Coturnix japonica: one gene and its partner. The protein of the gene in region 1 purifies or fractionates together with the protein of each later gene. This does not show direct contact. Links are inferred from orthologs where the notes say so. Each region holds a gene or a part of one and is shown on either strand. Other genes may lie near its edges.

Region 1 (4,253 bases):
ACCTCGTGCCTGTTCCACGCTGGTTGCTAACAAGCCTGCAGCGATTGACTGGTTTTCTTTTGAGGCAAACATTGGCGAGCTCTCTGCTTCTTTGATTGTTTTAATTGTTTTCCTGTCATTTCTTGCAGCTAGCGTTACATGACTGGAGGCACTCTGGCCAGGCCATATGGTATGAAAGATTTTAGGCTTGCCTCCAGATATTAGTGATGGGGCTTGCGTATTCCAGCCACTTTTTGGAAGAGGTGGAGTGTGAACACTGCCTGTATCCAATACTGTCTGTTAACAACATATATGAGGCAAAGGGTGTTTGTCCTTTGCCCAAAACGTTTATCCATTTTGGTGCTGCAAGAGCCCAGTCTCCATAAAATAGTAAGAGAAGTACTTAAGTCTGTCTTAGGCTTTAGTATCACATACCCTTCTCTAGGCTGCTTTGCTGCCTTCAGCAGCTCTTGTCCTGCCTCTCTGGCCACTGCTGGAACCCTTAAGCCAGCACTACATGCCATTTTATGTTTTAGTCTAGAATATGCTCTGTTTCAGCACTGTCCCATAACTCACAGTGAGTTGGAATGGAAATGGTGACAAAGGGTCTTAACTGGGGGCTGGAGGGGGAAGGTAGTGGGGAAGGGATGGCAGGAGGCCCTCAGCACCCCCAGACATAGGGCTGGGCACCCCACTGCCCACGGCCCTGACCAGCACCAGGAGCGATGCTACGTGTGTCCTCAGCAGGGCTGCTGAAATGCTGTGTAACCTTCAGCAGTGTTTGTGTGTGTCTTTGTAGGTGTGAGCATTAGGTTAATGCCGTAATTCCTTCACGTGAATTCGATTTATCGAGTCGTATCTTTTTCACGGGTGTGTGTTTTTCACAGATGCACATTTTCTGCTCTTACCTTAGTGAAGCACTGAGCCAACAATGACACAGGCCTAAAATAAGAAGCACGCGTGGGTCCCGTGGCTTGCAGGCAGCGAGACCAGACCTCGGCATTACCTGAGAGGGCCGGGACCGGAGCTCTGCCGAGCGCCGCAGCCCACACACAGCCCGGCACCACCGAGACCATTTGCCCACACGCGACCACGGCCCGAGCGGTGCTCGGACAACAAAATGGCTGTGGCCGCGCAGCCGGAGGCGGCCGGGGGAGGGCGGCCCCGTGCCCCGCTCCGGGCCGCCGCGGGGCCGCGATGCCGAGAGGCGTCCCGGGGACTTACTGCGGGGCGCCGGGCCGGCGGCTGCCTCCCTTGGCGCTGCTCCGCCACGGCCTCGCTCCTCTCCGCACCGCGCGCTGCTCCGTGCCGGGCGGGGGGCGTTGTGCCGGGCGTTGTGCCGGGCTGCAGGCCGGGGAACGGGGAACGGCGGCGTCGCGGGGCGCGGCGCGCAGGCGCGGGGGGCGCGGGCATGCGCGCTGTGCGGCGGGGAGCCCGATCTGATAGGGAGCAGGGGCTGACACTACCCCCGTGTGGGCGGCGGAACGTCCCGAGGATGACGTGCGGCGTTCTCGAATCCCGTGTCTCGCTCGCTCGCTCGCCGCCGCCGCCGCCGAAGGAAACGGGAAAAGCAACAAGGAGGCAGGAGCAGGCGCGGCGCCATGGCGGCCCTGGAGCGGCCCGTGCCCAGTCCCGAGGCGTTCCTGGGCCAGCCCTGGGCCGCCTGGGTGCGGGAGGCCGCCCCCCCGCACGCGCACGGCGCCGCCCCCCCGCACAGTAAGGGCAGGGACCGGCCCGCGGCTCGGCTCGGCGCAACGCTCCCATCCCCGCAGCGCACGCACGGCCCGGGGCACGGCCGACCCACACCCCGCGCTGCCCCCCACGGGCCGGGCCGGGCCGCGCCGCGGGAGGTGCCGCCCCCCCCCGGGCGCTCAGCTGACGCGCCGGGCCCCGGTGCCGTGTGTGCGGGAGGAAGGAGCGGGCCCGGCCCCGCAGAGCGGGCTGCGCCGCTGGGCCGGAGCCGCGGTGGGGGAAGGGGGCGAGGGGGAGGATGCGCGGAGCGGAGCGGCTGCGGGAAGGGGAAGGAAGCGGAGGGAAGGGGGGGCCCCAGAGCGCCGAGCCGCGCACCTCCTCACCTCTCCTCTGCGCCGAACAATGCGTGCACACCTCGGGCCTCGGCTCCTGACTGTGCCTCTCCTCCTGTGCAGGTGCAGATCTGGAAGAGACTGGAAAGGAGGGTGCGAAAAGCAGGGAGGTGATGAGGCTCAATAAAGAAGGTGAGCGCGGGGCCAGAGCATCGCCCTACCTGTCGGTGGTGGCTGGCCGTGGCAGGCGGCCCCGCAGTGCCCGGTGTCGGGCAGGTGGATGTGGCGGTGTTGGTGTGATGTGAGGTGTGGGCACAGAGGTGTGTGCGAGTGGCAGGTGTGTAAGGGAACAGGGTCATCCTAAGGCAACAGGGGGGACAGGGTCATCCTAAGGCAACAGGGGGGACAGGGTCATCCTAAGGCAATGGATGGCTCTGTTGGGGCCATGTTGGATTTTTGCTGAGGACTCTGTCCCTTCTCAATGTAATGCTTCGCGTGCTTCTATGTGAAGATGAGCAGATCAAGCCCTGTGTCATGGCAGATAACTCTTATGTCGTATTTTAATATACACTTACATTCTCAAAGAGCATTTGGTTTGCCGAAGCAGTCCCTTATGATCGTTGCGTTCTCTTTAGGCCAAGTTGCATTTTATTCTTTAATTCTTGTTGCTGGACGTGACTTGCAGTCAACTGAATAGCCAACATCTGACGTTGCTTTACAGTAGGCTAAGTGATGTGTATTGTGTAAAACCCAATGCAATAGGTCGCTTGGGTCAGAGGGTTCTCTGGTCCCATAAGTATGGACAGGCAAATTCCACACTGATGATGCCTGCCCATAGGCCATGCTTGGCTTAGTTCAGTCAGCTGCTGGAGGAAGAACTGGGCAGCACAGGTAAATCACTCTGACACATCTTGTTGGTGATGTGCACTGTTGAAATTGCGCTGGAGGAACATCTAGTGCAACTGGTGGGATGGTTTGGGACGTGCTCTTGTGTGGTGTTCTGCTCACTCTGTTCTGTTAAGGAAGCGCTACGTGCTTGCAGGCATCATGATAAATACTTGTGAAATTGGTTCCTAACAAGTGATTGTGTGACTTCTGTGTGATTTCCTGGTGCTGAGAGAAATCCCACCGTCACCTGTCATACCAGAATAGATATTCTGAAATGGTTCAAAGGTTCTTGGTACTGTATTGTTGCCTTTACACGCGTATTTAAGTTTGAGCACCTCAACAGCTTAAATGAATATTATGTTCTATAAACAGACTCTTGAAAATGAATGAATTAATTAGTGAAGTAAATCTGTGTGATAGAATCACATGGAATATGCATTAAATAACGATAAATTAAGAATAACGTAGAACCCCCACTTTGACAGGCATTGATGGAGGTACCAGGCTTGATTGTGTTTGTCTTGATTCTTACCTGCTAGAACTCCACTATTTTGCTTGGCTTTGTACCTAGAAGTCCTAGAGTACAAATTCTTGTTGTGGTGTTATTTGAGAGGTAAAGATCGAAGAGCATCACTGCTCCTTAGTCATACCCATATGCAAATCATTTCTTAGAACAGTTCGGTGTACGGGGTGAGCTGTAGTCCTTTATTGGTTTTTGGGGAGTTCACGGGCTCCATTAAGAGAGATCTAGTTGAACTTGCTCTCCAGAAAAATTATTTCAAACGTGTAATGTCATCACTGATAGTGACAGGTGTGAACTACTTATTGCTTCTATGGGGCTTGCATTGCAGAATGGTTTAAAACAAACAAAAAAGCTGACAAAATACTGTTGCGTTTAGCAAATAAAAAGCTGTAGGAATTGTTTTGTTTCCTTGTAGCAACTTGCTTTGGATCACTTAGAACTTTCATAAAGTTCCAATAAATGAGTATGTGTTGAAATACTTCTCCCATGTTCACCTGAACGCTCTGTTAACACAGGTGCTTCCACCACACCCACCCGTGTGTCTGAACACCCACTGTAGATCCTGCTTGAGCCCTGCTGTCCTTAGCAATAAAGGTGCGGAAAAATGTGAAGAGTTAGATCGTTTCCCAAAAAGCATTGCTGGCATATTTGTGGAATCACTCGTGCACTTACTGGGGTCTTGCACACGATGTTCTGTGTGATGTTGACATTTTTTGTTGGGTTTGTTAGTAGACATGGGCTGTGGTCCTGGTAGGTCTTAATGTCAAACTCAAATCATTTCTGCTTTGCAATCTCACAGGTTCGAGTAGGCAGTCGATGCTGTTTGCAGTGCCAGGAGA
Region 2 (4,508 bases), on another chromosome or scaffold:
GAACCCTTCACCAGAATTCCAGCATTAACAAATGTACGCTCATAATTACCTCTTCCTTCTGATTGGGAATTCAAATACAGGTACAGGAAATGGCTTTCCGACTACAAACAGCGCTTTGCAGCTATTTTATTAAGAACTCTGGATGTGAAGAACGCTGTAATGAAGGCTACAGCTCATCAAGGCTTATTCTCAGCAAAGGTACGCATTAAAAACAAATAGCAAGCAGCAAGCAGTGTCAAAATGGTCTTCTAAAGCATAATGCAGTAAAGCAGTATAAGTAAAAGAGGAGCAGCAGACACTTTCTGCCCCCTGCAGTTCCTACTGCTATCTGGATTTATAAGGCAGCCCTAGGAGGGATAGAACATTAGCAACCCAGAGACCCAACAATTTAACATCTGGCTCCCAAGCACCAACAGCCCAAACGTTTGGGTTTGCTTGTTGTTTTACAGCTAGGTTCATCTGAATAACAGTTAAATTCATCAATGCTTCCATTAATGATCAGCTACATCTTGTGAATGTTTGCTGTGCCAAATGAAGGATGCAACCGCCCCTGGTTTTTGGAACAGAAATTGCGAATCACCTTCTATCAAACCTTTATTTGACCTCATTGCTTTGATTAGAGCTAAGAATGAGAATTCTCACCATGAATTAACTGGTCCATCACCACGTCAGGGCTGTGCTCCTTATATATACATACACACAGTATATATATATAAAAGACGATATATCATCTTATATAAAGGACAACGGGTTGCCTTTTAGTTATCCCACTATGTATCCGAAAACAGAAAACGCTGCTATGAAGTTTGAGATGTAAATATAGGATACACATGGACAGCAAGGAAAAATCCTGCAGGGGAAGGATTCACATCCATGTACAGCAGGTAAGCACCATAACTGTTCCCATACTTCCTTCTACCTTTATGAATATAAGAATTCACCACCAAATGCAGGTACCCAAAACACTTCCCTGTATGTGATGATTTACTCCCACACATCTCAGGTTGGTAGAACTCAGAATCCAACTATTTCCAGACTGGAAATCTGCTTAAAAACAAAAGGCATTTTTAGCACGTATCTGGTAAAAGGATGTTTTCGATGAGATGATTTCGCAACCACCCCGTTCTGCCTTATGAGCCTGCCTGTCCTAAGAGTGTCACGGGTTACAAAGAGGTAAAGGTGGGAGCACAGATTGATTACAGCAAGCAATTACTATGGCTTAAAAAACAGCTGGCAATAAATACATGCATCACTAGTGATAGATTCCAGAAGAAACCCAACCAACAGCAGCCCATGGCTGTAAGGGATGCTCCTCATTCAAAATAATGGAAGCTGAAGTGTTCATCTTACTGATGAATTCTGGGTTTCCTTCTGCCATGTAACACAAGCAATATTCCTCTGAGACACCTTCTTACCCCACTCCTTCAGCAGCACACGTATGTTAAGCCCCACGTATGCTGTACCATAAACCCATCCGTATGTTGACATACCAAAGGTTAAATGAAACCCAATTCTGCCTAACATACTCCATAACACTGTCTTGCAGTGCGTTAGGGATGCAGAACACAACTTTGGCTGTACATTGCAGCGCTCTCAAGCAAGCCACTAACTTGATCATTTTCCTTCGGATTCCATTTTTTCCTCCCTTGAAATAAAACAGGGGACTCCCAGAGAACACAAAGCTCACACAGAGGGGCCGCTCAGCCCTGCAGCACACACCTACAGCTCCAGAGTTACCCACAGCCCAACAGGCCGTCCCAGCCCGCAGTTCAGCCGCACTGTTTGTTGCAGTCCCCTCCTCGGCCATTACCATCACCACCGATAGAAATCTGCAAAGTCACTTATTAGTACAAACTAGTTGATGGCACGGAGGGCAGCGGGAGGCTCTGCTCGGGCTCCTCAGCATTGTGTGGATTGCCGCACACAGGTGGGACGGTCACGTCTGTCCTCATCGCAGCGGATTCCGGTGCTGCGCTGCGCACTGCGTGCCCCGAACGCTCGCACCCCCCAGCTCGCTCCTTCTATCCCCCTCCGTGCCCTCCGCACTCAGTTCCTGCTCTCCCCCCAACCCCCCACTCTACCCGGAATCCCATTTTGCAACCGGATGACCACCGATCTTCAAAGGAAAAAAAATATATATACACACACACATATATATATATATATAAATAAACAGCAGAAATGCCCTCGTCAACTCCCCCCAGCCTCTCCCAGCCATTGTGCCTCCTTCCCCCACCCCTCCCTGCGGCACAAAGCCCCGCCGCGGGTCGGGCCGTGCCCATCGCCCCGGGGCTCTCCCCTCCCCCTCCTCCCCTCCCCGCAGCCTCCGCCGCGTTCCGGGAACAGGGCTCCGCACCTCCGGGGGGCGGCGGCGCTGCGGAACGGCCCCGGGGACGGAGAAAGGGGGCAAGGCGGAGCGGGGCAGGTGGCGGCTCTGAGCCCCAGCGCCGTGCCCGCACCGCGGGGGCACCCGCAGCCAACATCCCACCTCCCACCCACCCCCACCACCACCACGACCGCGTGCCGGGAACCGCGGGCCCGACGAGAGGAGGGGAAGGGAGAGCAGGGGGGTGGATGGGGCCGCCCCCGGTACCTTGCGCTTCCTGGTCTCGGCCGAACCGCTCCACACGAAGCACTGGTAAATGGCCCTCAGGTTCTGCTTCCAGTTCTCCACCTTGAAGCCGGTCACATGGCAGCACCCGGCCGCCGGCGGACTCATGTCAGACCCCCCCACATCAATCCTCCCGCCGACGGGCCGGGCCGGCGGGCAGCGAGCCGGCCCCTTCCCCCCCTCGGCGGCGGCGGCGGCGGCGGCGGCCGCGCGGGCACGGGCGCGGGCACGACACGGGGCGGCCGCGCGCCCCCCACAGCCACCACAGCCACCCCACCCTCCCTCCCCGCCGCCACCGCCCTCAGGGGCTGCGGCCCCTCCTCACGCCGCCTCCCGCCGCCTCCGTCCCCGCGGGCAGCCGGGGGGCGGCGGGCACATAGAGCCCCCGGCTCCGAACAAAGCGCGGCGCTGGAGGCGGCGGGCGGCGCGCTCCCCTCCCTCTCTCTTTCCCTGCCTCGCACACAAAGATGGGGCTCGCTCTGAGGCGAAGGAGGAGGAGGAGGAGGCGGCTGAGAGAGCGGCCGCTGCCGCCCCCGGAGTGGCCGACGCTCCCTTCTACCTTCATAGAAGGCGGAAGGGAAAGAAGAGCGGGGGGGGGGGGTGGGCCTGGAAGCGGCAGCGGCGGCTCCGGTGCGAGCGGAGCGTGTGTGTGTGTGGGGAAGGGCGAGTCTCCGCCCGCCGCCGCTCCCTCTCCGCAGCCGGCCGGCCCCGCCTCGGTCTCCTCGTCTCTTTAAACCTCCCCCCCCCGCCTCCTTCGCCGTCTCCTTCCTCCTCCTCCGCTCTCCCCGCACTCCCCCCCTCCGCCCGCGCTGTGCGCTGCTCCGAGCCGCTCACTCAGCCCGGCCCGGAGTGGGACAGACCAACGGGGAAGGGGCGGTAGGTGCACCCCCCCCACTGCCCCGCCACCCGCGAGGAGGGAGACGGAGAGGGAGGAAAGAAGCGCTGCCATTGGTTCGCTCGCCTGTCACTCTGCTGCCGAAGCGCCCGTCTTTGGCGTCTCATTGGTTGATTTTCTTTTCTCCCCTCCCCCCTTCTCCCTCCACCCTTCCTCCCCAGTATTTCCCCCTGCCGGAAAGGGGCGGGAACGACTTATCGGATTGACGGGGCATCCGGCCAATAGAGAGAAAGGGCGGCACGTTCGCTAAGAATGCCTCGCAACAATTGGCCATCCCGGCCGTCAATCTCACTCCAAGCTGTGAGCGGATTGGCTGCGGTGGGCTGAGGGGCGGTTCCACCCAGCGGCCTAGGCTATGGGGGCAGCGGTGGTGTCACATCCGCTGATCGCGGCCGCTTCGCTCTTACCTCAGTGATTTCCTGAGGGGCGGCGGGGTGGCCGGGTCGCAGCCGGGGCAGAGCCGCCCCCCCGGCCTGGTAGAGGCCCGACACGGGAACCTCAGCCCCGGCTGAGGGTTGTGAGGCCGCAGCGGCCTGCACTGAGATGAGGCGGCTCGAGGTGGGCAGCGCTGTGGTGCAGCAGGCCGCGCTGTGTTGTGCTCCCATTGGGAGCACTGAGAAGGAACGAAAACACCCTTAAAAAAGAACCCCAGCACCAGAAAGAGCCTTAATGTGGCGTTCCCTATCAATAGCCCTACAAGGCAGTGAGAATATAGTGCTAAATGCTCGAATCCGTGCTCGGCTCTGGTGTGCTCCACATGCTGTGGGGTTGCATAAGAGTGGAGTGAGGCAAGAGGAGGAGATGGGAACGGAGCAGCTTCTTACACAACCCTGGCAGCAATGCAGTGTTGGTACACACTCATTGACACCCTCTTACAGCAGGAATACCAGGCAGGTTTGTATGAGGTCCTCCCTGCTATCCCACCCTATTGCTTCAATGTACAGAACTCGATAACAAAGGTAGAACAGCCTAGCTGGTAATGTGAGGCTTAGGCTCAGTGAC

Evidence for each region.
Region 2: the proteins of ATXN7L1 (region 1) and USP22 purify together in Homo sapiens (affinity purification with mass spectrometry; 3 studies listed by BioGRID and IntAct, with this or other methods). This does not show direct contact. The link is inferred for Coturnix japonica from reciprocal best matches to the Homo sapiens genes ATXN7L1 and USP22.

Annotation. Positions count from the first base shown.
Region 1 is NC_029516.1:12,700,905-12,705,157, reverse strand, and holds the start of ATXN7L1 (ataxin-7-like protein 1), read left to right. Parts: upstream 1-1,406; 5' UTR 1,407-1,580; coding exon 1,581-1,695; intron 1,696-2,126; coding exon 2,127-2,195; intron 2,196-4,253.
Region 2 is NC_029529.1:4,593,123-4,597,630, reverse strand, and holds the start of USP22 (ubiquitin carboxyl-terminal hydrolase 22), read right to left. Parts: upstream 2,801-4,508; 5' UTR 2,720-2,800; coding exon 2,594-2,719; intron 1-2,593. UniProt on the Homo sapiens protein: Deubiquitinase that plays a role in several cellular processes including transcriptional regulation, cell cycle progression or innate immunity.